Linked DNA regions of Pelodiscus sinensis. Each later gene encodes a partner of the first gene's protein in a complex. Links are inferred from orthologs where the notes say so. Each region holds a gene or a part of one and is shown on either strand. Other genes may lie near its edges.

What was found. Proteins that work in one complex are often made in the same cells at the same time.
Region 2: MYBL2 (region 1) and TFDP2 share a complex: the UniProt entries of both Homo sapiens proteins name them as parts of the DREAM complex. The link is inferred for Pelodiscus sinensis from reciprocal best matches to the Homo sapiens genes MYBL2 and TFDP2.
Region 3: the proteins of MYBL2 (region 1) and LIN9 are in contact, whole or in part, in a crystal structure (PDB 6C48), measured with the Homo sapiens proteins. The link is inferred for Pelodiscus sinensis from reciprocal best matches to the Homo sapiens genes MYBL2 and LIN9. Residues at the interface, in NP_002457.1 of Homo sapiens: Trp663, Ala667, Cys668, Gly669, Gln674, Met677, Gln678, Ala681, Arg682, Leu684, Leu685, Arg687; in NP_001353174.1 of Homo sapiens: Lys356, Gln385, Arg386, Tyr388, Ala389, Thr390, Val392, Leu393, Leu395, Glu396, Asn399, Leu402, Asn403, Leu406.
Region 4: MYBL2 (region 1) and LIN54 share a complex: the UniProt entries of both Homo sapiens proteins name them as parts of the DREAM complex. The link is inferred for Pelodiscus sinensis from reciprocal best matches to the Homo sapiens genes MYBL2 and LIN54.

Annotation. Positions count from the first base shown.
Region 1 is NC_134728.1:29,651,149-29,658,332, reverse strand, and holds the start of MYBL2 (myb-related protein B), read left to right. Parts: upstream 1-4,168; 5' UTR 4,169-4,320; coding exon 4,321-4,367; intron 4,368-6,120; coding exon 6,121-6,306; intron 6,307-7,184. UniProt on the Homo sapiens protein: Transcription factor involved in the regulation of cell survival, proliferation, and differentiation. Transactivates the expression of the CLU gene.
Region 2 is NC_134720.1:21,211,029-21,218,704, reverse strand, and holds the start of TFDP2 (transcription factor Dp-2), read left to right. Parts: upstream 1-4,659; 5' UTR 4,660-4,706; coding exon of another isoform or gene 4,707-4,749; coding exon 4,750-4,857; intron 4,858-7,676. UniProt on the Homo sapiens protein: Can stimulate E2F-dependent transcription.
Region 3 is NC_134713.1:157,381,667-157,389,638, reverse strand, and holds the start of LIN9 (protein lin-9 homolog), read left to right. Parts: upstream 1-4,955; 5' UTR 4,956-5,209; coding exon 5,210-5,288; intron 5,289-7,972. UniProt on the Homo sapiens protein: Acts as a tumor suppressor. Inhibits DNA synthesis. Its ability to inhibit oncogenic transformation is mediated through its association with RB1. Plays a role in the expression of genes required for the G1/S transition.
Region 4 is NC_134715.1:11,686,379-11,694,249, forward strand, and holds the start of LIN54 (protein lin-54 homolog), read right to left. Parts: upstream 3,018-7,871; 5' UTR 2,885-3,017; intron 1-2,884. Other genes in the region: COPS4 (COP9 signalosome complex subunit 4), read left to right, coding at 5,801-5,874, 6,838-6,917. UniProt on the Homo sapiens protein: Component of the DREAM complex, a multiprotein complex that can both act as a transcription activator or repressor depending on the context. In G0 phase, the complex binds to more than 800 promoters and is required for repression of E2F target genes.

The sequences.
Region 1 (7,184 bases):
CTGGGGGGGCGGGGCACACTAGCCGCACCCCCCCCCCCGCCAGCAGACCAGGGACACCGGGAGCAGAGCCGCAGCGGCAGCGGGGTGCCGCGCCTCTGAGGCTTTGCTCTGGCAAAGTCTCAGAGGCGCGGGACCCCCCGCGGCTGCGGCTTCAGTCCCAGTGCCTGTGGTCTGCTGGGGACGGTCCCCAGCAGACCACAGGCACAGGGACTGAAGCGGCAGCAGCGGCGGTTCCCCACGCTTCTGAGACTTTGCCAGAGCAAAGCCTCAGAGGCGCGGCACCCTGCCCGGTGCCCCTGGTCTGCTGGAGATGGTCTCCAGCAGACCATGGGCACCAGAGCAGCTTACGAACGGGGCTTTTTCGCCCCGGAGCTCGCAGGTAGCAATCCGCTACCTCGACCTCCGGGGCGAGAAAGCCCCGTTCGTAAGTGCAGATCCGACGTAAGTCGGATCCGCGTAAGTCGGGGACTGCCTGTACTTAGCTATTCAGTCCCCAGCCTGTAACAATGCTTGAGAGTCTTCCGTCCCAAGTGCAGGACTCTATACTTGTACTTGCTGAACCTCATCAGATTTCTTGTGGCCCAATCCTCCAATTTGTCTAAGTCACTCTGGTCTCTATCTCTGCCCTCAAGCGTATCTACCTCTCCCCCTAGCTTAGGGTCATCTGCACACTTGCTGAGGGTGCAATCCATCCCCTCATCCAGGTCATTAGTTAAGATGTTGAACAAAACTGGTCCCAGAACTGAACCCTAGGGCCCTCCGCTAGAAAGCAACTGCCATCCTGACACCGAGCTGTTGATCACTCCCTGCCAGGCCTGGTTTTCTAGCCAGCTTTCTATCCATCTTACCGTCCATTTATCCAATCCACATTTCCTTAACTTGCTGACAAGAATATTGTGGGAGACCATATCAAAAGCCTTGATACAGTCAAGGTTTATCACATCCACTGACTTTCCCATGTCCACCGAGCCAGTTATCTCATCATAGAAGCTAATCAGATTGGTCAGGCATGACTTGCCCTTTGTGAATCCATGCTGACTATTCCTAATCACTTTCCTCTCTTCCAAGTGCCTCAAAATGGATTCCTTAAGGATCCCTTTCATGACTTTTCCAAGAACTGCGGTAAGATTGACCAACCTCTAGTTCCAGGATCGTCCTCCTTCCCTTTTTTTTGAAGATGGGCACTACATTTGCCTTTTTCCAATCATCCGGGATCTCTCCGGATCTCCATGACTTTTCGAAAATAATGGCCAAAGGCTCCTCAATGACATTTGCCAACTCCCTCAGTATCCTCGGATACATTAAGTGCGGACCCATGGATTTATGTACGTTTAGCTTTTCTAAATAGTTCCTAACCTGTTCTTTCCCCACTTAGGGCTGTCCTCCTTCGTCCCATATTGCATCACTTAGCACATTAGGCTGGGAGCAGACCTTGTCCGTGAATACAGAGGCAAAGAAAGCATTGAGTACTTCAGCTTTCCCCGCATCATCTGTTACTAGGTTACCTCCTTCATCCAGTAGGGTCCCACGCCCTCTCTGATCACCTTCTTCTTGTTAACATGCCTGTAGAAACCTTTCTTGTTATCCTTCACATCCTTTGCCAGTTGCAATTCCAATTTTGCTTTCGCCTTCCTGATAACCCTCTGGCACATTCCTAAATTGCAAATAGGGATGTAAAATCTTGATTAAATCAGTTAACTGACTAAGGGATTCCTAACATTTAACTGGTTAACTGATTAAGCAGGATTCCAAGTGGGGTAGTGCTCCAGCCTGGATGGAGCAGCCCCCAGTCTATGGGGCTCCCATTCCCCACCCCATGTAGAGCTGGATGCTCCAAGGGAACCGGTTAACTGTTACTTAAGGAATGGGTTACTCATTCACATTTGCACAAGAAAAGGTGACTAAAAACTGCCCCAACATAACTCCTACATGAAAAAAGGCTTCAGGTGCTTTAGAAACAAAGAGGAACATCTTCTCTTAAAGGCCAGGTCTTGGAGGCATGAGATCCAAGATCTGTTCTTCGCTGTGATTTAGCAAAATTAAGAGAAGTGACTTGCCAAGCTTGTAAAATAGAGATTTTAAGTGGGACCTGAAACCTTTTCCTGGCTCTATATCCCTGAACTAGATAGTTATTTCCTCCCACCCCCCTCTAGGACATGGGGGTAATGGTGCTTCACTTCTCCAACATGACGTCTTCATGTAGTCTGTGAAAAAATTACAATCTGTATGTGTTATTACCTTGAATCACAGAGATTCCACAACACAGATATCAGACAGGATCACAAAGAAAAAACAATTTCTTGCCATTTCAACCAGAAAGGACACTGTCTCAACGACTTAACTACCTGCATTCTACTACAAAGACCTTTTACATCTGCACTTGAAAGGGAATCCTCTGAACTGTCATTCATGCTAAAATTCGACACTCTCCCGGGGGGGGGGGGGGGGATTGAACAAAGACCCCAACTACCTTACCCATTACAAAGATAGCTTCCCCAATTGTCACCTCTAATACCATTAGCTCACAGACACTTACCTTCCTTCTCCCCCTCCCCCCTGCATCCCCCTTCTGTTCTGAAATGTGATTTGTCCTTTTCATATGTGTTCATTTTTTTTTAATTGTATCCTTTGGTATATATGGTTGTGACTATTTTCTTCCACTATTTGATCTGAGGAAGTGGGTCTGGCCCACAAAAGCTCATCACCTAATAAACCATCTTGTTAGTCTTTAAAGTGCTACATAGTCCTGTATTTTGCTTCAGAGATTCCACAAGTACCCGTAGCAGCCTAACTGCCCTTCTAGGCTAGCAAAAAGCGTTACCGATAGCTAACCTAGAGCATCTTGCTGCGCATTAAGCCTGTTCTTACTTCTGCCTTGAGTGGACACGAGGCGTGTCTAGCATGGGGACCCCTCTGCAATACAGGCAGTCCCCGGGTTACATGGATCCGACCTACATCGGATCCCTACTTACAAACGGGGTGAGGCAACCCCGCACTAGCTGCTTCCTCCCAGCAAACCAGGGAGACGCGAAGCTAGTGCCACCCCTCCCCAGCAGACCAGGGAGACGCGGAGCTAGCGCCCCTCCCCCCCAGCAGACCAGGGAGACGCGGAGCTAGCGCCCCTCCCCCCCAGCAGACCAGGGAGACGCGAAGCTAGCGCCCCCCCCCCAGCAGACAAGGGAGACGCGGAGCTAGCACCCCCCCCCAGCAGACCAGGGAGACGCGGAGCTAGCGCCCCCCCCCCAGCAGACCAGGGAGACGCGGAGCTAGCGCCCCCCCCCAGCAGACCAGGGAGACGCGGAGCTAGCGCCCCCCCCCCCCCAGCAGACCAGGGAGACGCGAAGCTAGCGCCCCCCCCCCCCCCAGCAGACCAGGGAGACGCGAAGCTAGCGCCCCCCCCCCCAGCAGACCAGGGAGACGCGAAGCTAGCGCCCCCCCCCCAGCAGACCAGGGAGACGCGAAGCTAGCGCCCCCCCAGCAGACCAGGGAGACGCGGAGCTAGCGCCCCCCCCCCCAGCAGACCAGGGAGACGCGGAGCTAGCGCCCCCCCCCAGCAGACCAGGGAGACGCGGAGCTAGCGCCCCCCCCCCAGCAGACCAGGGAGACGCGGAGCTAGCGCCCCCCCCCCAGCAGACCAGGGAGACGCGGAGCTAGCGCCCCCCCCCAGCAGACCAGGGAGACGCGGAGCTAGCGCCCCCCCCCAGCAGACCAGGGAGACGCGGAGCTAGCGCCCCCCCCCCAGCAGACCAGGGAGACGCGGAGCTAGCGCCCCCCCCCCCAGCAGACCAGGGAGACGCGGAGCTAGCGCCCCCCCCCCAGCAGACCAGGGAGACGCGGAGCTAGCGCCCCCCCCCAGCAGACCAGGGAGACGCGGAGCGGCTTTTCTCAGCAGACACCTCAGCTTGAGAATAAAGGACTGAGGGAAGTGAGGTGTGGGAGAATAAAACTGAGCGCTGGAGAAATGTTTGGCTAGCGTTTCCCCTACAACATGTACAGTTCCGACTTGCATACAAATTCAACTTAAGAACAACCCCCCAGTCCCTATCTTGTATGTAACCCGGGGACTACCTGTACTACAATCAGGAGGATTAGCGGGGCCAGTGACATCCGCGGGTCCGCTCGGCTCTCCCCTCTTTTGTCCTCGCCAGGCTCCCGTACCCACCGGCTGTTTTCCTTCCTGCCTGAAGAGGGATCCTCAGCCCCGCCGCCGGGCTGGCTCCCCGGGCGCCATGTCCCTCCCGTGTCCCGCTCTGGGCGCGCCGCGGCGGAGCGCGCCGCCCGGCCTAGGCGGAGCGCGGCCTGCAGGATGCTGAGCGGGGCATGGCGGCGGGCCTGCCGCGCCCCGCCGCCCGGGGGCCGTTGCTGAGGTAACCGCACGTGTTCGCCCCCCCCCTCCCGGCGAGGCTCCCCGGGGCCGCCGCGTCTCCCGGGGAGGGGCCGAGCGGGCCTGACTCAGCCCGGGGGGTTAAGTAACTTCTCCCCTCCCCGGCCACTCGGCGAGCCGGGCCCTGCTCCCCCCCAGGCGGGCTGCTCCCGGCCGGCGCGGGCGGACACGGGACAAGGGGGGTTCCCTCTGCTCTCGCCCACCCACCTGCCGCCGCGCCTGCTCGCCCGGGCCCGAGCGCTGCTGAGCCTGCGCCCAGCAGGCGATTGGCAGCAGCTCCCTTCGCGGGGAGGGGGAGAGGCTGGTCTCGGTCCCGGACCCGAGCGCCCCCCTCTAAGTGGGGAGGGGCTCCCGGAGGGAAAGGCGCTTGTGAGCAGCCCTCTTGCTTCTTTGTGCGCCCCCCCCCCCCCCCAGGGACCAGTCCCGTGGGGGGATGCTCACTCAGGGGCGTGACCCGCGATGAAGCGGGGCAGAGATGCCGGGATGAGACTGTGAATGGCTCTTCCCGCAGAAAAACCTTAAGTTCTGCCTTAAAGTCAACCCCGGAGAAATCGCTCCAGCACGACAGAAGTGGTAGGGCAGCTTGTGGGGTACCGCTGTCACTTAGTGCTACAGAGCAGTCAGCGGGAGAGGGGACTTCCTCCCCAAACGCAGCCATGAGACTGCCAGCCCGGCCCCACCCCGCAGGAGATATTTGAACTCAGGAGCCAGAAGGGTTTCACATATTGGGATAGAAAACTCTTACTTGCTCCCCACAGTCTAACTTCCACATTCAGAATGGTGAAGTTATTCCCTCTCCTGACTCTGATCAGCATAACCCTGGTTCCAGGCCAGGTGTTTGCAGGTTGTGCATTTAGATCTGCCCTTTCAGTGGCCAGAGAGCACTTTACTTCCTGTCCTAATGGGGGATGGTAATGATATTAGCTAGCCACAGCCTAGAGCTAACAGACAGCAGCTGGTAGCTTTTGGGGTCTCAGTTGCAATTAATTGAGACGTATGTTTTTCCCTTCATAGGGGAAAAACATGACTTCACCAGTCTATTAACTGGGTTAGAGTAGTTTTAGACTACCCCCCCTATTGTCTGTAAGTTAGGGGCTTTGAAGAGTTATTAATTTATCTGAGAAGATTGACATCAGTGGTGGTGTAACAGATTGAAGAATGTGGAAGTTAGTTTAACATGTAGGCCAAATCCAAAAGGTACATAAAGCCCAGTTTTGATACTACAGTAACCAGAAATTTCCTGGTTACTGTAGTAGGTACCTAAACACAGAGCACTAGGGCTGTAAAATCCCAGTCAACCACGATCACAGTCACTCACCTCTGCTGAGCTAAGTCCCTCCTTCTCCCCCTCCCCCATGGGGGGGGAGAGAAGGAAGTGGTGGTGGAAGCAGGAGGCAGAAGCCAAGCCCAGCATGAAGAATGGTGCTGGCTCCTGCTCCCGCAAGCACCCCCCATGGTAGAGTGGGGAGGGGGGGTAAGATGGGCTGCTCCCAGGCATGGGTTAACCATTCTCATCTCTACTCAGCACCTACATACAAGTTAACTAAACCTTTGAGCAGATGAAAGCCACTGACCTAAAGGAATGTGGCAGTGCAATCTTACTAGACTTTTGCACCCCCTTCAGGAATCTGATGTATTGGTACACTCAAGTCTCAGCTCATTTAAACTACTTGCTTACAAAAGGAAAAAAAGTCCCAGAACACTTACTGAAAAGTTGCTTATTTTCTCATTTTTAGCCATGTAATTCTAAATCTACTAGAAGATTTACCTGGTGTTGCTCAGGTCCTTGACTCCATTTTTATTTTTCCTTCATTTAAATCATTGCCCTGGAATGGGGCTGGGCTGAGAGGTCCAGGATGCAGGCTGCTTTGGGGAAGAGAAGACAACCCCAGCCCTCCCTCACTGCAGCAGCTTGGGACCAGGTGAGAAGTGCCTGACCATGACCACTGCAGTGGGCACAGCCAGGGGAGGCGCGCATGTCCTCTGGCTAGAGGACAGACACAGACTCTGAAATATATAGTAGATAGCTATCTACCTCTGCCACCTTCTGGCTCAATGGGGTTAAAGCTATCCTGGTCCCTATCTCTGACCTCTCTCTGCCGTCATTCTGCAGTATAACTGGCCTTCCTACCCGAGTTCTCCCTTTCTATTCTATGAGAAAGTCCAGGCACATCCCATTATCCTAGCACAATGAAACCCCAAACCAGGTGATAAGACGAAGCTGCATACCAAACTTGGTGGTCTTAGCTCTTTCCATTTGTTCAAGAACTTCTCTTAATGGTCTCAGATTTCTAAAATATCTAGTAAGATAGGAGTACAGTATATATGTTCCAATTTCAGTGCACAGTATATAGAGAAGTATAGATTAGGCATTGTATGAAGTTTTAGTGTGTACTGGCTTCACTAGTGTTTTTATGTAGCCTGTAGTAAAACTAGCCAACTATCTAGATGACTTGATGTACACCCCACTCCCCCAGTAGACCTCTACATACACCAAGGGGTACACATACCTCTGTGAGCCACAGCTCTAGCCAGCTGCCTGCTTCCCTATCAAAACCCCCAGAACAATTCGTGAACCGATGGGGGAGGGCAAAAGCAAGCATTTGGTCACTTAAAATTGCATGCAGGATGGATCAAGTCCCATTCAAAGTAAATTGACCTCCGTCGGGAGGGAGGGAGGGGGAAGACACACACACACACACACACACACACACACACACACACACACACACACACACACACACACACACACACACACACACACACACACACACACACACACACACACACACACACACAC
Region 2 (7,676 bases), on another chromosome or scaffold:
TGCCTGTGTTCCAGGCTGTGATTACAATCCCATGCAGTATCTTTGGGAGCCATTATATTAAATGTATTAATGTTTATGTATGAATGTGTTTTACTTGATTGGAGAAGGTTACTAACTATTCCAGGAACTTTACAACCTCCAGGGTAGTCATCCCCTCAGACCTAATTCCAACAGAAAACCACTCCACCCCGCCCCCCTAGTATTTGCACATATCAATTCAAACTAGGTTTTCCAGAGACTCAAAGAAGGGGGTACAAAGCTGAGCTTGAACTGACACTGAGCTTGAACTGACACAGAGCTTTTGTTTTGATTAAGCAAACGGACAGAGCTTCCTGTCCAGGGGGGTTCCCAACCCTTGCAAAAGGATTGGAATGACTTTGGCTTACTTGGGCCTAAAAGACTGATGGTGCCACTATTATGGTGCCACTGGTGTTAAACTAGGAATGTGCATGACTTATCTGATGGTCAACAAACAAGTTGACTAGTTGCTTCCCCCCCATCCCTGCTGCCTCTATTAGAAAGAGGCTGCCGGGGGGGGGGGGAGGGAAGGGAGGAGAGGGCAGGGGGTACTTCAAAGCAGCAGCAGTGCATGGAACCTGGGGCCAGACATTGGGCTCCATACAGCACTGCTGCTTTGAAACATTGCGTGCAGCCCGGGGCCAGATGGGGTGTTCCCAGGCTGCATGCAGCATTTCAAAGAAGCAGCACCACATGAAGCCTGGGATCAGCTGGGGATTCCAGGCTCCACGCTGCGCTGCTGCTTTGAAATGCCGCGAGGAACCTGATGCCGGGCTCCCTGAGGCATTTCTAAGCAGTAGCAGCACATGGAGCCCAGGGTCACCGGGGAGTCCCTTGCTGACTTCAGACTCCATGCAGCTCTGCAACTTTGAAACACCTTTGAACTTTCGCCTTTGAAATGTAACAACAGCCCTAGGGTGGAGGCATCCTATCAATTAATCAAATAGTAAATTGCATCGACTAGTCAGTTACTTGATCAATTGCATCAATTAGTTACTTGAAATTTAACATCCCTATGTAAAACCTAAACAAAGAATGAGTGGTCTGGACTCAGGCCCACCGGTAGCTACACAACTGCTCTTCCAGACATTTTTAATCTGCCTAAAAATTAAGGTAATTTTTTTAGCAATAATGAAGCGATACTATGAGTTTGGCAGTCAAAAATAGAAAAACAATGAAGGCGAAGGTAAAAGATGTAGCTAAGGAAAAAGACAGTTTTGTTATCTTATTTAAAAAATCTTGAAGTACTGAATGAAGGACATTCATTAAAAAGTAAGGGTGAGAAAACATCTCAATTATCTGATCACTTGCTGAGTTGTGAGGATATCATGACATAAGAACGTAAGAATGGCCATACTGGGTCAGACCAAAGGTCCATCCAGCCCAGTATCCTGTCTGCCGACAGTGGCCAATGCCAGCTGTCCCAGAGGGAGTGAATGGAACAGGTAATGATCAAGCGATCTCTCTCCTGCCATCCATCTCCATCCTCTGACAAACAGGGACACCATTCCTTACCCATACTGGCTAATAGCCGTTTATGGACTTTATCTCCATAAATTTATCTATTTCTCTTTTAAACCCTGTTATAGTCCTAGCCTTCACAACCTCCTCAGGCAAGGAGTTCCACAGATTGACAATGAACTGTGTGAAGAAGAACTTCCTTTTATTCGTTTTAAATCTGCTGCCCATTAGTTTCATGGTGGCCCCTTGTTCTTATATGTTGACAACTGCAAAAGTTGAACAAGTGGATTGGAACTACAAAATACTGGTAATTTTGTCGAAGTAAGGGAAGAAACCTACCCTGAAGATATTGCATTATGGCCAAAATCTATTTCATTAGATAGACTTGTTGTTGCCACAGTAAAGCTTGTGTCATCTTTGGGACTACCTCTGAGAGGACATGATGCATCATTGAAAAGGTAATTTTTTAACCTGTCTTGAATATCTTAATGAGTTTAACAATTTTCTCACTGAATATTTGAAAATTATCAGTATTGTGGCTCAGGGAAAACCAACTTTTTAACACACCAAATCTACAATGTGTTCATTATTATAATGGTAGAGCAGTTCAGAAACCAATTCACTGATGAAGTAAAGGCTGCCAAATATTATTCAATAATAGTCAACTGAACACCAGATGTGAGTCATGTACACCAATTAACATTAATTTTAATATACGTGACTGGCAATGGTGAAGTTATAGAGCGATTTCTTTGGTTTTTTGTTGGACTAAAATCCCACACTTCTGAATGTTTAGAGACAATGGTTTTGGAAATCATTGCAAATTTAGGTTTGAACATCAAAAATAGTTGTGGACAGAGCTTTGATAATGCCGCAAATATGTCAGGAAAATATTCAGGTCTACAGGCAAGAATGAACAATGAAAATCCCTCTGCTTTATTCATATCATGTTCCCAGGCAGTCCTTAAATTTAATATGCAATGCTGCAGCCGCTTATTATGAAGGTGCTACACATTTTTTTTTTTTACTTCAAAACACCTATGCTTTTTTTTGTTTGTTTTTGTTTCCACAGATCAGTGGAATACGCTATAATCACACTTGGAGCAGGCAAATGGAAAACACTTTACAGTAAAAAGAATTTTTGACACCAGGTGGTTTGCTTGTGCAGATGTTGTTTTGGCTTTCAAAATGAGCTATGATGTTATAAAGAAAACTTTATTAGACATAGCCACATCAAGTTCTGAAAAACCATGTGTGAAAACTGAAGCAAACTCCTTAGCAGAAAAGTTTGAAAAGAATGATACTGTTGTTTGATGAAGAATTGATGAAGTCAGCAAATCACTGCAAAAAGTTTATACACATTTATTGAATGCTGCACAATGGTTAGCCTCAGATACAAATTTTGTCATGGAAGTTCGAAATGACTATAGGTCTGTGGAAGCAGAGGCACTAACATTAACAGAAAATATAGGTTCCTTTGATATATCTGATGAAAAGCATAAAAAAGTAGGAAGTTATCTTCAATGAAACTAGAAACAATGAAATCAATTTAAAAGGCAACGAGAAGATCATCATTGAGATCATCAGTATTATTTGTAACACAGTAGTAGTGCAATTACAGAGTAGAGATGAATCTCTAAAGAAAACTGTTAATTTAATTTGCATGGTTTTTTTCTGACAGAAGTCTAGATGAAGATGCTAAAAGCCACTACAGTAAGAAATTAAGTGAATTCTACTGAGAGAACATAGACAAAAATCTTTTTGCAGGTGAAGTGAAACATTTCTTTCATTTTATCAAAAATTATGAGATCTGTGCTTCAGAATCACCAGTTGATTTGTATAGCCTTTTACAGGATGGTTTGCAGGCAACCTTTACAGATGTACAAACCATTCTGAAAATATTTTTAATAATACTTGTCACAAATGCTTCTGGTGCACATCCTTTTTCTGTATTGAGTTAAAAATTATTTGTGAAATACGATGAGTCAGGAACATTTGACAAGTTAAGCAATGTTGACAATTGAAAATGTCTCTCTACAAAATATTACTTAACATGATTTAATTGACAATTTTACAAAGAAAAAGTGTGGAAAGAAAGCTATCTGAATATTTTTTTTTTAAACAGAGTAAGTTTCTTCAGAGGAAGTTAACTTTTATTTTTCCATTCATGCGTCATCCATATACTTTATTTTTACATATTTTTCATGTTAGGTTAATGCAAACACAAGCTTTCATTAGACCAGAAGTTCTCAAAACTGTGCTCTGAGAACTCCATTCAAGTGGACTGAAGAAAGGTTATTATGTTTTGTTTTATAAAGCGCTCTTATCCAAAGTACTTTACAATAGTCATCTAATGGTACAGACAATATGTGGAAAGATCATTAAAAAATAATCACTTTATTTTCATTTACTTATTAATTATAATACAGGAGGAGGATCAAGAAAAAAGAATGAAAAATGGGAGGACACAAAGAGTTAATGTTCTTTTTCGTGGCTCAAAATGAAGTTAAGCACAGGGCCCCACTAACTCTAAATCCGCCACTGCTTGGTAGTCTCATTTGTATAAAATATTTAGATTATTGCAATTTGAGCCTCTTAGCACATGTTAAAATATGAATGACCGCAGTCACAAACTAATATTACAATGTCCTTATGAACTACTTAATGAACTAGTCAACTCCCAGCCATTCTGCCTTCCACGGTTTCATGCAGGGCTGGATTGGGTTACTTTGGTGGTTTGACCTCTGTATGCCCAAGTACTTCCACTTCAGCCAGAGCGACGTGATGGGGCTGAGCCTGGGGGACACACCTGCCGAGGGTGTGGATATTGTACGATGGGGGTCCCACAGTTGCGGTCCTTCCGGCCATGCCCGGGCCTCACGGGAGATCGTGTCTCCGCTCCTCCCCCGAGAGGGGTGTGAGCGGCGAGGGAGAGGCGGTTAGTCTGGGGCTCCCCGTGCTGGCGGAGTCACTCCCCCCCCCCCGTGTGTGTGTGTGTGACCGAGCGGGGAGCCCCGCCGGAGAGTTACTCCTTTGTGTGCAGGGGGAGGCAGCCGGGCCAGGGCTCACCCCGCCCAACAGGACCAGGGCTGACGCCGCCGAGAGGCCAAATCCCGCCCCCGGGGTGCGGGCCAGCACCGCCTCGGGCCGCTCGAGGCTCGCTCTGCGCCCTGCCCCCTGCCCCTCGGGGATTGGCGGGCGGGTTGTGTACACACAAGGCCGCGCCAATGGGCGGCTGGCGGCGCCGGCCCTCACGCGGCGGGGCGGCCAATGGGAGAACGCACTTGTCAGACGCCGCCAAGCTTGTGCGGGGGAGAGAGGGAGCCGGGCTCGGTGCGGCTGTGGAGGGAGCCGGCGAGTGGGCCGGGCTGGAGCACGGTGAGTGGGGCTGGCCGGGACTCTGCGCGTTAGCGGGGCACCCTCTCGGGCGGCAGCGCAGAGCCGAGCCGGCCGGGGGCGCCTCCGGGGGCCGGCTCCCTGCTAGAGCAGCTGGCGAGGGAGGAGCCGTCGCCGGGCTCCTTGTCTCGGCTCCGGTGCTGGCCAGGCCCATCCCGCTCGGGGCCTGCGGACGCACGGGGCGGAAGAGCGCGCTCAGCTGCTGCTCAGCCTGGCTGCGCTGTCCCCTCCCCCACCGCGCGCACCGAGGGGCTAACGGCCGTTGTGCGCTTCTCCCTGGGGGCCTGCCCGGCGCCCTGACCCGGGGCCGCTGCCCTGGGCATTCGTCTCCCCGCCCAGAGCCCCGGGTGCTTGGCACCTGGGAGCCGCTGTCCCCGTTCGCCGCCGTAGCGAGGTGGCACAATGTGCCTGGCACGCAGGCCTGTGCCGGGAGCTGGGCTGTGCCGTGTGACAGCCGCCCGGCCTGGCGCTTCTCGCCTCTGCGTGACACCCAGCTGGAGGTCACGGAAGTGTCTGCCCGCGCCTTGTAGTTGGTATCTCCGCCCGTCTCCTCTCACCCGTCTCTTTCCCGGGGAGAAGGGAGTTTCTGGGTAGGGGTGAGAGGATTCAGGAGTCTGCTGTATTTGGTCCCGTGTGTAGCCGTCTGCTGCTTAATTCACTTGGTAGTTAGGCTGTGTCCTAGCTGGCAATGTAGTGTTCTGTCAGTTTCAATGAAGAAGCATATCCTTAAACAACGAAGTTCTGATGTGCAGCACAAAGTTAAGATGTTTTGCACTATAAATGTATGCGATGCTTTGAAAAATATTTGGGGGGCACTTGAAACTGCTTTCTTTTTCTCTGAGCAAGAGACTTTAAAAGGTGTGAAATGTGAAATATGAGACTCTTTCTGCTCCCACTTGAGGTCAATAAGGGAAGGCCAATAAATCTTCTAAAGGTATAAGAGAGGTGGAGGTAGACTTCACGTTTCAGAATGCAAACTTTAGTCAATAATCCAGAAATAGTGCTGGAAAAACAAAATGTAGAATTAGCAAACCATATACACAAAAGGGTTGGAAAGGTATCTTTGCTGAAGTTCATTGAAATTTCAGTTGGTCTGTTTTACTTGTGAGATGGGGGTGGGAGATCATGTTAAACAGTATGTGGGGAAAACTTGCATGGTTTCTTGCTGTGGTTATTTGTTCTATAAAAAGACAAATCCAGAGTTTAAATCCTATCTGGCACCTCTTACAAATGTTAAACCAATTTAATAGAAGACTGTATAGAAATAGAGAGAGAGAGAGAGAGAGAGAAGCATTGACTACTGGGAAGTCTTAAGTGTGTTGGAACTGTATTTTAAAATACCTCAACTTCTGAATAGAAACTGAAGAAAAACATTGTCAGTAAATGTCTGGGTCATATATCATCTGTCTTTTCTCTCAAAGAAATGTTGTTATGGTACAGTGGTTTATGTATTCGTTTGATGTAGGGCTTGATAAAAATATGTTTGTATGCTAGAATATACTTATATGTTTTTAAGTGAATAAATCAAGTTAATCCTCTTACTTCAGACTATGCCCACAAATCCACTTGATCATATAATAATATATTAATATTTTATATTGAAAGCATGTCAGTTCTATGGGAATGGAAGTTCCTGATGCATTATTGATTATATTATGATACAAATTAGAAAGTATTTTACAGTTCAGCTATTTATGTTTATAAACAAAGGTACCTACAACTTCAGAACTATTTAGAATATTGTATGTACAGCAGAAGTGCCCTAAAAGTACAAGTGTTTGGGGAAACAACAGGTGCCTAATTGTGGCCCCCACCTCCTCATGCTATCTCTTTCTCCCCAAACCCTGCTCACTTTTCTTCTCCTTTTGCCTGGTTGCTAGTAAGAAGTAGAGATGTTAAAATGCATGTAATGAAGTAACCGCGTAACTAGTGGTTACACACAGGATGGCAGTTGGCTCATCGGTTAACTGTTTACATGGTTAAACATGTTCATTGGTTAACCGTTTACATCAGTGTTTCTTAAACTATGTGCCACAGCACACCAGTGTACCGTGGAGAACAGAATTCAAAATGGCCACCCTTAAAGGGGCAGGCGACCTTTTTTTGGGGGGGGGTTCAATAACTTCCCCTGATGTATTCTCTCCCCTTCCCCCACCTTTTTTCCCCTCTCTCAACAAAAAATCCTTGGTGTTCCTCATTTAAAAAAAAAAATTGTTTGGTGTTCCTTGGTCTTAAAAAGTTTAAGAAACACACGTTTACATGGTTACACTTTCACACCCCTAGTAAGAAGTGGCCAAAAAAAAGTGAGAGGGGCATGGCTCCTCATCTGGTGCTCCTGGTGCAGTGTGTTGAGGAAGTTTGATAAGAGTTGGGAAAGGAAGAGAGAAATTAGGTAATAGGAAAGAAAAATGACATGATAGGTATCTACAAGAAAGAAAGTACTGAAATCTCTCCTCTTCCCAAGTCAGCTTCTCTTGTTTAACAGGAAGTATTATCTCTAGAGGAGACCTAGGAGTAATAGGTCAGGTTATTTAGGCCTACCCTAAAGCAAGAAGAAAAACTGGGAAATAATTCTTAAGTGACTCCTATTTTGTTATTAGTGGGCACTGTTTTGTAATGAGAAATTTCTGAGATAAATCTTATATTTTTCTTTGTAAACCCTTATGGTTCTTTTATAACCACTTCCTGTGTGTTGAAAAATCATTGTACTATAAAGAATGAAAAGGAACGGTTTGATGCAAGTTAGCTTTCAGTGGACAGTTAACGACTTCATATAGCTACATAAATTAATTTAACATTAA
Region 3 (7,972 bases), on another chromosome or scaffold:
ATGTATTGTGTCGCTACCATAATAAACAGTGTAACTATAATGATCAGATGTTCTCTACTGATTATATATTTGATGCAAAAACTATACAAACAATGCATTTAAGGTAACCATCTCCATTTGAATCTCCCTGCTGCAATTACTTATTCATACTATGCAATGTGCATCTCTTGTGTTGATACACCTCAGTCACTCTGAAAAATAACAGGAAGAAAGGCTGTAAAATAATTCCCTTTTTAGAGAAGCAGTATTGTTTCTGAATTGCTGGATGGAGACTGGATGCTCGTGTTGCCTAGTCTGCTCAATTAAACTGCTTTTGAGCACAAAGTTTGTTGAAAGAACCTCTCCTAAAATCTCCTCCCCAAAACACTGATTGCACTGGGTTTCTTACAGAAGAATTCTTCATAATTCATAATTTCAGTTATTTAAGTTTCCCATATAAAGGATCCAAATGTGTGAAATTAGGCAAACAGATGGTATGAATCTACCTTTCTTTGTGTGATGTATCCCATGAGGATTATGGGCATGTGGCTAGAACCAGATGTTTTCAAAGTAGTATTACTCATATTGCACACATGCACCTTTGTACTGCATTGTGGTTTTGGCAATAATGGGCGGAGAGGACTGGCCATGTCTCCAATACCTGTTCACCACCATGTGGTCCTAGCCAAAGCTGCTTCCGCCCCTGGGAATGCATTTTCCAAACTCATAGGAAAAACTACTTTTGTTCATAGCTAGCATTTTATTGTTTTTTCAGTAATTTTCTAGTTCCCAGAAGTTTTATAGGATTTAGGACTTGAAAAGTGCCAAAGAGCCAAGATTCCCTAATCAAACAATTCACATGTCGTGTGTCATTCCCCCCGGGAACTGGTTTATGCTGATGACACTGGGATTCAGAGCCTGCATTTCTTACCCTCGCTCATTTCCCATTAGCAACAAGCACCAACACTGTTTGAGGGCAGCCCAGACCATGTCTCCTCTGACCAAACATGGGAAGGCCAAGCTCTCTGCCTCAACAAACACCTCATGGGGGTTGCCATTGTGCCATGTCACAATAGAATCCTGACTGGAGACCTCTCCCCTTACCACAGAGTCTCTGTCCAGCTCTACTGACCCCACACTGGGGCCCATCCATGAGCCATGGAAGCACTGTGCATAAACAGGGCAGTAAGTCTTCCTCCAAATCCAAGAAACCATGTGTTCCAGCCATGGACGAAGAGCATATTCCAAGGCTCAAAAGAGCAACAAGAGGTTACACCATTCATGTAACCAAGTTACCCTTCTGATTCAGCTTCACCAGCATCCTATAAATCATTGGTTTGGAGCTTTAACACTTTTCTGGTTCCAGTCCTGGCAATAGACTGGGTATCACCGACTCCTGGAAGACTTGGAAGTGTTCCCAGACCTCTCAAACTGTTTACCTTGGAATAAGTGAGCTTGTGTGACCACCTGCTCAGAGGTCCCCATCTCCTGCATTAGATCTACCATCTACTGGTAGTGCACTCTGTTCCCACAGCTCTGTCAGCATCACTGTGTAGCGCCCAGTTCTGCTGAGTCTGAGAATTCAGATACGATGTAATCCGCTACTTCCAGTTTGGAGACATTACTACAGAGCTTTCCAGTTTCTTTAGTACTTGTACTACAGCAGCAAGAGCAACCAAGTTGGCCATATTAGAGCTTATAGCTTCACTAATTGCCTTTGAAATGGTCTTAGAACGGGAAGACTGTTTTATCACTTCATTCTTCATCCAGTCTACCCTTGGCACCTGGATCAGACAATGCATGCACCAGTGTGGTGCCAAGGGGCCTCAGGAACTTCCCGTTAGGGTACCTAGATGTGGCTGTTTCTTTAACATTGCCCGTCCCACCAGATGACTATCATCAGTTTCAAGAGCAAGTGAGAAGGATAGCTAAAGCTCTTCAGAACCCCCCAAGAAAAGGTGGGACCAGGTCCTAGACTTACACACATCAATACCAGCATGCAGAGTCAATGCAGAGGTGTATAGTAGTCCCGCGAGCAGTGGTTCTTAAAGTGCAGTCCGTGGACTGTTAGGGGTCTGCTGCCATCTCCCGGGTAGTCTGCGGCTTGAGCACAGCCTCCCCATCCCCACCCAGCAGGGTGCCCACATTGTGGCTCAAATCTTGTGGTTACTGTGCAGCTGCAGGCTGAAGCATGAACTCCGGCTTCCCACTGGGACAATGCAAGGGCATGAAGGAGGTGCAGGCATTGCATGGCGTAGGGGTCAGAGTAGCCTGGCAAGTGGAGTGGGCGACATGACCTTGTGCTGAGCTCTGTGTCCCTGGGGCTGCCCCTGCCCAGCCTAGGCTGCACCAAGCTGCTCCCCATGAGGTGTGTGCGGGGGTGGGGAACCCCTCCTCCAGTGCCCTGCTCTGCCTGGCTGGGCTGGAGCCAGCCCCAGGCTCTGCCCACCCCACCCCACCCCTGGAGTGGCAGCCTACAGGTGAGAGGCAAGCTCTGGACAAAGGGCTGGGCCAGGCAGGGAAGTGACTCCGTTCCCCCCTCCCCCAGCCCTCCTTGCCCCACTGCTGCTCCTGGGGGGCTGCAAGTCCCAGTGCTGCTACCCTGCTGTTGTGTGTGCTGGGGGCACAGGGATGTGGGGCCAGGATGGGGTGAAGGAGGATGTAGGGGAAGGTTCAGAGGAGGCAGGGGTTGCACGGGGGGGGGGGGGTGATGCAGGGGATCAGGCTGGGTGGGGATCAAGGAGCTGAGGGGGGTGAGGCTAGAGCAGAGGGAAGACGTGGGGGGGATATAATTTCCCTTTACAGAAACTGCACTTTCCTTTGCTCTCCACTTTGCCTCCCTCTTCCCCTTCCATCACAGCATGATCTTTGCACCTTATTCTGTGTGAATGAGAATTTCAGCCTATTTGCAGGCATTGCTGGAAAACTGGCAGGTCTGTACATTGTTCAATAATATTTTATAGCACCCCTTGGCATTAGATCTGGGACATTTGCTCCCCTTCAGGTCTCCAGCAGACTATCTTCTTTTAATGCCAGTGCATATTTCTGCTGGCAGCTCAGACCTTCATTCGTTATTTCCACCAGGGCTCTGAGCTGTGTCTGTCTGGGGCTCATTGCTTTTCCAGCCCGTTTTAACCCCTCAGTTACTGGCAACACTTCATTGGGATTGCCAGAAAACAAGTCAAACTGAGGGGCCATGTCTAGACTGGCAAGCTGCTTTTGTGGAAAAACTTGCCAGCTGTCTACACTGGCCGCTTGAATTTCCGCAAGAACACTGACTATCTCATGTAAGATTGTCAGTGTTCTTGTGGAAATACTATGCTGCGCCCGTTCGGGCAAAAGCCCTCTTGTGCAAATGCTTTTGCGCAAGAGGGCCAGTGTAGACAACGCGGTATTGTTTTGTGCAAAAAAGTCCTGATCGCGAAAATGGCGATTGGGGCTTTCTTGCGCAAAACCGCATCTAGATTGGCACGGACTCTTTTCCGTAAAAAGTGCATTTGCGGAAAAGCATTTGCGGAAAATAATGCCAGTCTAGACGTAGCCAGGGAGATCTCTCCCCTCCATGATATTGAATACTCGTTGGCTTAGGATTTTTAAGATAAATAGCCACTTCAGCATCTACATATAAAAGTGAATCAATGTTCTTCTTTTACTTAGTTTCAGAGTCTTATAATTGCCATAAGAACCACAAATCTCCATCATAACCCAGAAAGACACCAGTGTTCATTTCCCTTCCGTATATGGGAGCACACTTAAGCAGCCACAAAGGTTTTGTTGAGCAGCTAGTTGGCTGCATTCTCACCCTCACCTTTTCTGCATAACTTCCCCACCGATCTCCAAACTCTCTCTCTCGAGCCCCCACATTCTCCTGCTGCCGAACTCCCTTCCGCACCCTGTCCTCCTCACCTCCTCATGCCTAGATCCTGCATCCCTATCCCACTCACTGGCAGCCCTCATTTTTGTCACCACCCCAGCGCCTAAGAGGGTCCACAAAATCCACTAATTCTGGAACCCCAGAAAAGTAAACCTGGTCTATGGGAAATCCTAAACCTTAGTCCTCATTGTCCCCTTCACTCTTTGGGGTTGGAGTCCAGAAGAATGAGGTGTCTCATTTGGGGGGTCACATCAGTGAGGGTTGGGGTTTTGGAGTTTTTTTGCTTCTCCTGTGTGGTCCCTTAACTGATTTTTCTATGGGTCAGTGGCCCCTAACCCAAAAAAGGTTCCCCACCGCTACCATAAATAAAATATGGGAACCTCTTGTGTTGGACATAAATTAATGTTACTTTATGTAAAATGAAGCTTGATAAACTAACATGAGAAAGTTAAAATGCTTAATCTGTTTAATAATTTAAACAACTGTTCTCCCTAGTTGCAGCACTACGAAAATGGCTTGGGTGTAATTATGTAATTAACAGTGAGTTTCCATTAGCAACTGGTGATCTATGAAAAGGTTTGCAGTAAGCCAGGTGGTCCATCGCCAAAAAGTTTAAGACCCACTGCCTTAGGGGCTCCTTTATGGCTACTCTCACTTTCTGACAATTAAATGTTTCTTTTTGACCTTGCCAGATCCTTTCCAGTATTCTATGAAATCGATGCAGTTGCGCCTGAAGTGCTGCATCGCGGAGCAGGACACTTGAGGGTATTATTGAGCAAACCACCAACAATTGCGTGTTTTGCATCAGTGGGCAGCCTCACGGCAACGGCTCCCTCAGCCAAGGGGAGGCGGCCAGGCTGGGGGGGGGGGGAGGAGTTGGGAGAGGAGGTAGAATTCCTTGTTTACAAAGCTAGAGCACAAGTAGGATGGTCAGCACAGTGGCTCCTTTGCGGGAACAGTATGAAAACCGGCTCCTGCTCCCAGGTAGCCTCCCTCTACAGCAAACGGCGCGCGGGGGTGAGGCACAGACCCCAGCAAATTGCGAAGCGAGGGAGAAGGACGGTGCATGCAAATACCGCGGGCTGAGAGGAGCCCTGCAGTTGCGGTGGCGCGCTCAGGCTGAGACCGCTGCTCGCTGCCGGGAAGCAGGAGCCCCCCGGGGCTGCCGTAGCTGTCTCCGCTGCTCCTCGAGCCCCTCCCAGCCCTTTTGTGTCCCCGCGCGCCGCCTCCGCCGCTGCTGCATCCCGGCCAGCAGCACGAGCGCTCCTCGCAGCGTTCGAGCAGCCCGGGCGGCGGCAGCAGCGCGAGCCGGGTTCGCCAGCGCCGCCTCGCGCACGGCCCAGACCCCTCCCCACAATGCACCGCGCCAGGCAGCCTTTGAAAAAGCGGCGCGGCTCGTTCAAGATGGCGGAGCTGGATCAGCTGCCCGACGAGAGTGAGTAGCGCCCCGCGCCCCCGGCCGGCGCCCCCTGCCCGCGGCGCCCCGCAGCGTCGGGGACCAGCTCGTCCCCCGCCGGGCTGCCTTCCCCGCGTCCGGCCTGGCCGCGGCGGGCGCTGCGCGGGGCCGGACCCGAGTCTCCTCCTCTTCCTCTGGAGCCGCCCCCCCCCACGTCCCGCCACCCCCTACCCCGCGCAGGCGGAGGGGCCGCCCCGGAGCCGGGCCCGGAGACCCGCGGGTTCCCCACGGCGGGTGGCGCCGGGAGGGGACTTGCACCCCGAGTTCGGCGCAGCCTGACAGGCCGGGGCCACGGCCGCACCCGGGCCAGGGACGGGCCCGCACTCGGGCCAGGGCGCTGCCTGTCAACAGAGATAGGGAGGCGCCGTACAGCTGCGAGCACCGATCCTGCCCCGGCGCATGGGGGTGCGCTGCACTGCGGGTGGGCCCTCAAACATTGCAGCGCAGGGGAAAGCGGGCACAGGGAGTGCCCTGCATAGGACGTGCCATTAATACAGGGGGGAGAGGTACAGGTTAGTGCTGTGCCCTGTCCATGAGGAGGAACTAATGCTCTGGGGGAGAGGGTTACACAGGGTAGTGCCCTGCGCCCCGAGCAGGCTTACGGGTGGGACATAACATGCATACTGTGCTGGGGGGTGGAGAACACTAAAATGCTCCAGGGAATTTCGGGGGTGGACACACAAACATACTCTAAATGCTGTCTGACAGAGGCACCAGAGAAATGGAGGTCATTGAGACATGCAAATTGCATCCAGGGGCATCCAAGAATGAGGATACACATGCTACTCGGGAACAGACACTGGATCTAGGGGATAGATGCAAACTAAACACAATAAAGGTGCTATGAAGACCCACAGTCTATATACAAAGACACAAGCATGCACTGTATGCAGACACATAAATGAACGTACAAGAAGGTTGATACCCAGCAAGTCTGACTGAGTAGATCATGTGTATGGGAGGTAATGTCACTTAGATAATATATTTTATTGTACTAACTTGTGTTGGAAAGAAGAGCTCTGTTACTGTGCAGAAGACTGCCATGTTAGCTCAAAATCTTGTGTTTCAAATCAATGAAAATGAACGGTATTACCTTCCTCTTCCCATCCTGTCTCTCTATATCCTGGGCCCAATGTGGTTACAGCACTGCTGCAGATACATACTGTGGCCAAACAAAACTACAGATACAGAAAAATAGATTCATTCATTCATTGCATTACTCTTTCGTAGGAGTAATGCAAGCTATATAGACATGCATACCATACATAAATGTACAAATTAACACTAACGCAGCAAGGCACAGAAAAAAATGATAGGGCTAATTTAAAATACACAATAGTTTATTCCAGCTAAAACATATTAAGTCTCTACAAAGTTTATCCATTAAAAAGGAGCATATGATAGAGCACATGAAGTATAAAATTTAAACTGAGGGCTATGTGAGAATTTGAAATGCAAATCAAATATATAAACAAGAAATTCTTTATATCAGAAGCAGAAAGCAGTTGGGCTGTGTCTACATTGGCATGATTTTGCTGCACAAAAACATGCTGCCTGTCTACACTGACGAGGAGTTCTTATGCAAGAACACTGATGTTCTAATGTAAGAAATCAGTGCTTCTTGTGCAAGAACTATGACGCTCCCACTCAGGAATAAGCCCTCTTGCACAAGTGTTCTTGCGCAAGAGGCCAGTGTAGACAGGCAACATGAATTTCTTGCACAAGGAAGCCCAATTGCTAAAATGGCCATCGGAGTTTTCTTGCGCAAGAGAGCGTCTACACTGGCATGGATGCTTTTGCACAAAAGCACATCTCTTGCGCAAAAGCACATGCCAATGTAGACGCTCTCTTGCGCAAATACTTTAACGGAAAAACTTTCATTAAAAGTATTTGTGCAAAATCTTGCCAATGTAGACGTAGTCTGGGAGAATAGCAATGGCAAAGAAGCATTGGGCAACAAGCTAGCTGATTGTCACAAGTACAAGGAATGTACATTCAAAATAACCATTTGAACTAATGGATTCTAAATGAACTGTAACAATAACAAGGAAAAACCTAAATGGTTTCATTTAGAACAGCCTGATAAACTGCTTGATGCTCAACTAAATAAGCAAAAACTTAGATTGGATTACAAAGGTAGAGCAATGATTTTCAGTCTTTCCCTTACTGGGGTCTTTTGTTACAACAGAAAAAGTATGGGACCCTCCTCCCTTTAAGCCAGAAGAAAAGATGGATGTTCGTGACCTTCAGATTGAGAACCCATGGGATAGAAAACAATATAAAAATATTAGGCAACTGTAAAAATATATAATCTCACCTTTAATATGCTGTTCAAAGTCTAGTTCCCCTATCTGAAAAGATACATCTTATGAAGGTTACTATAGGCAGTCAGGAATGGAACACACACCTCCAACTTGGCAAACTTAAGTCATTATCTGCTACACCACATACCTTCCTGATTGACTTTTCCAACTTTGCTTATCCTATTTCTAACTAATATAAATCACACTCCTCTGCCATTTGGTAATTACTCCAGTATCTGAAATATTAAAGTTCTGAGCTGAGGATCACAAGGTCAAGGCATTTGAATGCTGCTGCTCACCTTTGTAAGGATGGCATTAGGGATGTAAGCAACTAATCGACTATCTGATATGCGTATGATT
Region 4 (7,871 bases), on another chromosome or scaffold:
TTAGATTAAAATAAGATACCAACCCAAAAGTGAAATTCTAGATGATTGTATCGAAGTAACAAGACACTGACCATTCTGACACTAGGCTACTGCACTACGTTTTTTCCATTCAACACTTCTAAAACAGTCACATGGCCATTTTGTAAAATGTATCAGAAAACAGCAATCTTAAGAAAAACATAAATATTTGCTGTATTAAAATATTTGTTAGTTAAAGCACAAAAGTATGAAAATAAAAACAAAAAAATAAATTACTCTCCAGCCAAGAATTCTAGGATCTCACATAAAGATTCTTCAAACAATTAGTCATCAACATACAAGATCCTTCAAAGTTAGAGTTTAAGCCCAGAGGGAACTACCAGATCACTTTGTCTGACCTCCTGTATATCACAGGACACCCACACACAAAACCAAGCAAACTAAATTAGACCAAAATATTACAGCCTATAGGAAACTAGAAGGTTGGTCTGAACTACAGAGTTAGTCAGCATAAAGCAGCTTACATAGATCTCACTTTGTAAGTGTCTACACTCCAACGTTGCTCCTGACGATGCATGTCACCCATTACTCCAGGAGGCATAGAGCTTGCATTGATGCATTCAGGGCAACAGTCCTGTGTAGACACTGCATTATTTACATTGCCTGGTGGCGCTCAGTCCTAGGGATGGGGGTTTCAGCTGACCACCAACAGAACCATAGACATGATTCACCACAGTAAATATCAAGGTTGCTGTATTTTGACTTAACTTTGTAAAAGGTCTCAGAATAATAGGGACTTGAGGTGTGGCACCAATGTTTAAGGCAACTGCAATGGCAGGGAACTGATTAAATGAGATATACTCTGATAATTGGGAGAAATGGCCTGCACCTCATATTGCAAGCACAAAGTAAAAAACCGTAAGGTCACTGGAAATCTGACTCAGAGGAAAATTCCTTCCCAACCAACAAATGGTGATCACTTAGACATTAGGGATGTAAATACCCAATTAAAAAGTTAACCAGTGCTACATTATGTAATTTTAATTGGTTAAATTGTCAGTCATGGAGGGGGTGGGGGAATTGTGCAGAGCTGCTGGCATCTCTAGCCTGGCTTCTTGCCTGCTGGCCTACTGTACCACAGGGCTGCTCCAGCCAGCTGGACCCACCATGGTTTAACTGGTTACCAGGTAAGCATGCTGGTAAGGCTAAGTTTAACCAGTTAAAACTTTTACATCCCAATGAGACAGTGCAAATGAGGTGACACTGGTACTGTTGCATCTGATTTCAGTTGGCCTGTATTTTCTTTTTGGGGACATGGAGGGGAGACGGCCAAAAGTCAAACATTTGGCCCTGAACTCCTTAAAAAAAGTTACAACTCACACAAAACAAAAATGCTCTCAATACTTAGGACAGGGGTAGGGAACCTTTTTTGGGTTGAGGGCCACTGACCCACAGAAAAAATCAGTTGAGGGCCACACACAAAAAACCCTCAGACTAAGAGAAAGACACTCCACACATTCTCCACGCCTGGGGGGCCCAGCCTAATATATTTTGTGTGCTGCCCCACCATGGGGCAGGGAGCTGGAGCTAGAGCGCCAGCACAAGATCCCTCATGCAAGGGGGGGTCTGAGCCTTGGGGTTGGATTCGGGCAAGCTGTGGATCTGAGGTTCCCCATCCCTGACTTAGAAGCTGTCATACCTCAAAAATGGGACACCCTTCTCCCCCCAAACACCAAACAAAGAGGCAGCTTACAAAGGAAAAGAAATATCCTCAGAACTTCAACAGAGTCAGAGAACCTCCTCTCTTCTTTAGATATGTGGGAGGATTCATCAGGTATACAAGTCACACATGAGCCCACTGCATTTACCTATGTGATTTTCAGTTATAAATTTGACCTAATTGTAGCTGTATCTTTAAAAAAAACAAAAAAACACTAGATTCATCTTCCAATATAGCATTGATATTAGTTCTACTATTCTCAATTTTGCAAAACACTACCATAATAAAGCTGACAATTTCGACATGTGGCATGCCATTTTGTACTGCAGAGATGCACATCAAGATGAACTTTTGTAATGATTCATCACACTCTATATACTGCCCTATATCTAAACATCCTTATTTATATAATGAGGCAGGCAGGGGAAGCGAAAATACTAGGCACGTTTATTTTGATTTTTTTCCCCCAAGAGATTGCTAGAATGAGGGCCCAAACTGTAAGCCCTGCTTTTCTCTCCTTTTGATCTTTGCTGAAAAAGAGCATGTCGCAGTGAGTCTCAGCTCTTGAGATCTTGAATTCCTTAACATTTTCTAGGGTTAAAGCCACATAAAGAAAGCTCCTCCTTACTATTCAATATATTACACAAATGACTTTAAAATGCCAACCCATTCGTCAGAACAGTCACACATAACCAATGATTTTATTTTTCACGCGCAGGGTCGGCTGTTTCCCTGGCTACTATGGACTGGCAGTGACAAAGGGACAAACAGTCAATACACCCACACACCGGGGCACAAGCCACAAAGGCCCACCCGCTGGCGGGGCACGGCCCCGGCGCCTGCATTGCCAAGGCAGCCGCGCAGACAGCTCAGGCCGGGGCTGCACCGGCCGGATCCCCGGTGCCCGAGGGGCGCAGCGCCAGGAGCGGCCGCGCAGGGCTGCGCCGTGGGCTGGCCGGGCCTGCGCCGCCCGCCCCGGGAGCTGCGCCCAGGCGGCGGCAGCGGGGACCGACTCCTGGCGCTGCAGCCGGGGTCCCCCTCCCCGGCCTGTCCCCGCAGCCAGGGAGCGGGTGGCCCCCAGGGATGGGGGGGGGCTGCACGGCGACGCGCTGGGCTCCCCCCTGACACCCCTTCCTGCTCCCTCCCTTCCCCCCACCCCGCTGGGCCCCCCGCGCTCACACTCACCGGGCTCGCGCTCCCCCCTCCCCCGGGCTCGCGCCGCGGCTGCCCCCTCCTCCTCCCCCTGGGCTCGCGCGCCGCTCTCAGCAGCGGCAGCACCAGGGACAGGTTCCGTGTTTGTTCAAAATCACGCGCCCAGCGCCATTCCACCGCCACATCCCATAATAATGCGCAGCGCCGCCTTGGCAACCGACATAGCGTCACCAAGCGAGCGCAGCTCCTCCCTCTCCCGCCCTTTGGGGCCGGCGCTTCCTTCCAGCCGTTTCCGGGTGCGTCATCGCATCCCGTTGGCTCGTGACCATGTCACGTGCCGCTGCACAGGCACGCAAGGGCTGGCAAGTGCGCAAGGTGAGAGGAGAAGCAGGGGTAGGTGGAGCCTTAAGGAGGAGCCCGGGTGTGCGTGTGTATGGTGCTGCGTGTGCAGCCTGCGTCTCCCACTGATCTGAAATGGTTGGGGAACAGCTGAGAGAGGCCTGGCGATAGTGATGCATTGGGTAAGCATTCCAGCCTCCTCTACTTGTAGCACCCTTCTGGGCACTGGATGCGTGCACTCTGCTATACTGCCCCATAGATAGAAACTGTTTAAGTCAAAACTTAAAACTAGAAGCACCTTAAAGACTAACAAAACATGTAGGTTGCATCTAGACTGGCATGATTTTGCAGAAATACTTTTAAAGGAAAAGTTTTTCTGTTAAAAGTATTTCAGCAAAAGCGCATCTAGATTGGCACGGATGCTTTTGCGCAAAAAGTGTTATTGCGCAAAAGCATCTGTGGCCAGTCTAGACGTGATTTTGCACAAGAAAGCCCCGATCGCCATTTTAGCTACTGGGGCTTTTTTGCGTAAAACAATTATTCCCTGTCTGCACTGGCCCTCTTGAGCAAGTATTCTTGCGCAGGGCTTTTTCCTGAGCAGGAGCATGAAAGTATTTGCGCGAGAAGCACTGATTTTGTACATTACAAAGTCAGTGCTCTTGCGCAAATTCAAGCAGCGTGTAGACAGCTGGCAAGTTTTTGTGCAAAAGTGGATGCTTTTATGCAAAATCTTGCCAGTCTAGACGCACCAATAGAGGGTGATATGAGCTTTCATGGGCAAAACCCACTTCTTCATATGACTGGAATATATCTGAAGAAGTGGGTTTTGTCACAGGAAGCTCATGATACCATCTACATGTTTTGTTAGTCTTTAAGATGCTACTAGACTATTTATTGTTTTTAAATTTTTTCCTGTTACAGACTAACTCAGCTATCCCTCTGAAGCTGCTTGGCTGTGTCTAGACTGGCCAGTTTTTCCGGAAAATCAGCCGCTTTTCTGGAAAAACTTGCCAGCTGTCTACACTGGCCACTTGAATTTCCGCAAAACCACTGATCTCATGTAAGATTGTCAGTGTTTTTGTCGAAATACTATGCTGCTCCCTTTCGGGCAAAAGTCCTTTTGCGCAAATCTTTTGTGCAAAAGGGCTGGTGTAGACGGCTCAGATTTGTTTTCGGCAAAAAAGCCCCGATCGCGAAAATGGCGATCGGGGCTTTTTTGCGGAAAAGCGCGTCTGGATTGGCACGGATGCTTTTCCGCAAAAAGTGCTTTTGCAGAAAAGTGTCCGTGGCAATCTAGACGCTCTGTTCCGAAAATGCTTTTAACGGAAAACTTTTCCGTTAAAAGCATTTCTGGAAAATCATGCCAGTCTAGACGTAGCCCTTAAGTCAAGACACTGAAAAACAGGCAGTGAGTGGTTCCAGTCTTGTTACATCTATAAAATGGGCTAACAAGTGACAGCTTCCTAAGCACTGGGCAAACCTTTCATGAAAGGTGATATGGAAGTGCAACATATGGCATTGCTTTTACCTTGAGCATACACCCTCTTGCAAGGGAAATGTATTCATTCTGTTTAGCTTCTGTACCATAGGTATCCTCCACTTATTTGTAGGGTATGAACAAACCAAGGGAATTTTCCTCACCTCTTAATTATTGGTTTTCTCTCCATTAAAACATTTATCTGCAGTGTTTGCAACTCAAATGTCAGTGTACAAAAAAATAAAAAAAAAAATTGATCTCAGTCTCTTTCCATGGTTCCAGCTGAAGCACAATCCTGAAGATAGCTGCCTGACATTTAAGTAAATAGAACACTCCTTTTGAAATATGAGCTGAGTCCACCTCTCCACTTATGAAAAGCAGCACTCTTGTATGTAGGTGCTATATTTGAAAATTTTAGTTTACATATCCGGACCTCAGTTATACACTGGTAAAATAGGAACAGTATAATTATTCATCTACTTTTAGATAAAACGCTATACACAGATTAGAAAAGGAAAATAAATACTGTAATGTCTGAAATCTTCTGATAACGTATGTACGACAGCCATGCTGTGTACACCACTGAAACACAGCCGACAAGCAACACAGTTCGGAAAGAAACAGAGCTACAAAATATTCCACTCATCAGGCTCTGGCCCTGCTTCCTTCTCTGACCCGAGAGACCGCATGGGAAGGAAAGAACTTATCATCCATCCCTCTCACTGGGGCATGAGATCCTGCATTTCCAGACCTGCCATCTGCACCAGCCAGGCGGGCAATACTGGGAATGACACCTTCCGGAGAAATAGCTCAGAGCGCCTCTCCTGGCCTTAGAGGGAGGAAGGGACTGAGGGTCCCCTCCCAGGTACAGAGTCTGCTTTCGTGTGGGGCCGGGTCAGTACGTCAACCCGCTGGCGGATCAGCCCTTCCGCATCCCAGGGAGGCAGCAACTGGCCAGCAGCGCTCGCGAGGAGGGAAGGACTCCGGGCTGGGAAGGCGTCACGTGACCCTTTTCTCAGGGGCAGGAGCCTTTCTAGCCGACGCTCCTCTATGATACAGCGGGGACGCGGCGGCGGCGGCTTCCCTCTCGTTGGCAGGGGGAGGACCGCGTCTGTCAGTTTGCGCGAGACAAGATGGCGGCCGCGGTGAGGCAGGAGCTGGCCCAGCTCATGAATTCCAGCGGCTCCCACAAGGACCTGGCGGGGAAGTGAGTGCGGGCCGGGCTGGGGGGAGGGGGCGCTCCCGGCTGAGGTGAAGGCGGTTGGCGGGTGCTTGAGGACTAGTCGGGGGTTGCAGGGTCCTGCTTCCTCCGCGAGCCGCGGCCCCTGTGCCTGGCAGGGCGGAGGCGCCCGGGTCTGTCTTGTCACTTCGTGAATGGCAGACGATTAACGGATAAAACGGATTAACGGAAAAACCTGCGCTTATTATTGGTCAATGCTGTCGACTGCACCTACCTACCCCGCCCCCCCCCTCCCCCGCTGCCTCGGGGCGGGGGGATTAACCAGACCCCCCCCCCCTCTCCATTTAATTTAACCAAGGGGCTGTAGATGCTGCAGGCTGGTGCTGAACTGTCCGTTTCAGAACAGTCGGTGTTCCCAGAGCCTTGGGCTTGAAAGACAAAAGAACCCATCTGATGCCCATTGTGTCTTTTTCTAGAGCCAGAGCAATTGTACGGAGAGAGGCGTCCGAGCTTTAAATTCCTTTTAAAAAATCACGTATTTTCTGCGCCGTTGGTATTATGCAGCAGGGTCTCTTGGGAAAAGCCCTAAAAAACACCACCAAACATATAGGCTGTGTCTACATTGGCACCCCTTTCCAGAAAAGGGATGCTAATGAGACACTTGGGAATTGCAAATCCACGGGGGATTTAAATATCCCCGGGGGATTTAAATATCCCCCGCGGCATTTGCATTTACATGGCTGCCGCTTTTTTCCGGCTCGGGGTTTTTGCCGGAGAAAAGCGCCACTGTAGACGCGATTCTCCGGAAAATAAGCCCTTTTCCGGAAGATCCCTTATTCCTACTTTCAAGCGTCTACACTGGCGCTTTTCTCCGGCAAAAACCCAGAGCCGGAAAAAAGCTGCAGCCATGTAAATGCAAATGCCACGGGGGATATTTAAATAAAAGGATATTAATTGTGATACATTTTTTAATTTTAAATCTATGGGCAGATATCGTCAGATACTGGAAAAAGCAATTCAACTGTCAGGAGTGGAACAACTAGAAGCCTTGAAAGCTTTTGTAGAAGCAAGTAAGTATGTATTTGTTGTGTTTATGCATTGTTGACTGAAGACTTGATGCATGTTGGATTACACATGCAGATAAATATAGTTCAGGCTATGTGAATTTTTGATGTGCTGTCCATATTCAATCTTGCATCTGCATCTGCTTGGAGCACCAATCATCAGTATGTTAAAATTAGAGTAACCAAGCAATTAAACAAATTAATTGCCAATAATTTTGTTGCTAAACAATAATAGTCTATCATTTATTTAAATATTTTAGATATTTTCTACATCTACAAATATATTTATTTCAATTATAATATAGAATACAAAGTGAACAGTACTCTCTTTATATTTTATTACAAATATTGCACCCTAAAATTAAAAGAAATAATATTTTTCAATTCACCTAATATAAGTAGTATAGAGCATTCTCTTTATCATAAAAGTTGAATTTACAAAAGTAGAATTAGATATAAAAAACTGCATTCAGAAATAAAACAATGTAGGCTTTAGTGTTTTACAAGTCCATTCAGTCCTGCTGTTCAGCCAGTTGCTCAGACAGTGTTACCTGAAAAATGAGAACAATTGTTCACATGCACTGTTGAATTACACTGCAAAGTTTCTTCTGTCCCTTCATGCTTCAACCACCATTCCAGAGGACATGTGTTCATGTTGATGATGAGTTCTGCTCGATAACATTCCAAACCAGAGCAGACCGACATATGTTCATTTTCATCATCATTTTCACCACCAGCAAAAGGATGGATTTTCTTTTTTGGTGGTTCAGGTTCTGTAGTTTCCATATCAGTGTTACTCTTTTAAGACTTCTGAAAGAATGCTCCTTACCTCATACCTGTCAGATTTTAGAAGGTGCTTCAGATTCTTTAAACCTTGGGTTGAGTCCTATATAGCGATGTTAAATTTTGATTACCAGCTAATTGAGTAGTCAATAGAATTTCCATCAACCTTGCAATGCT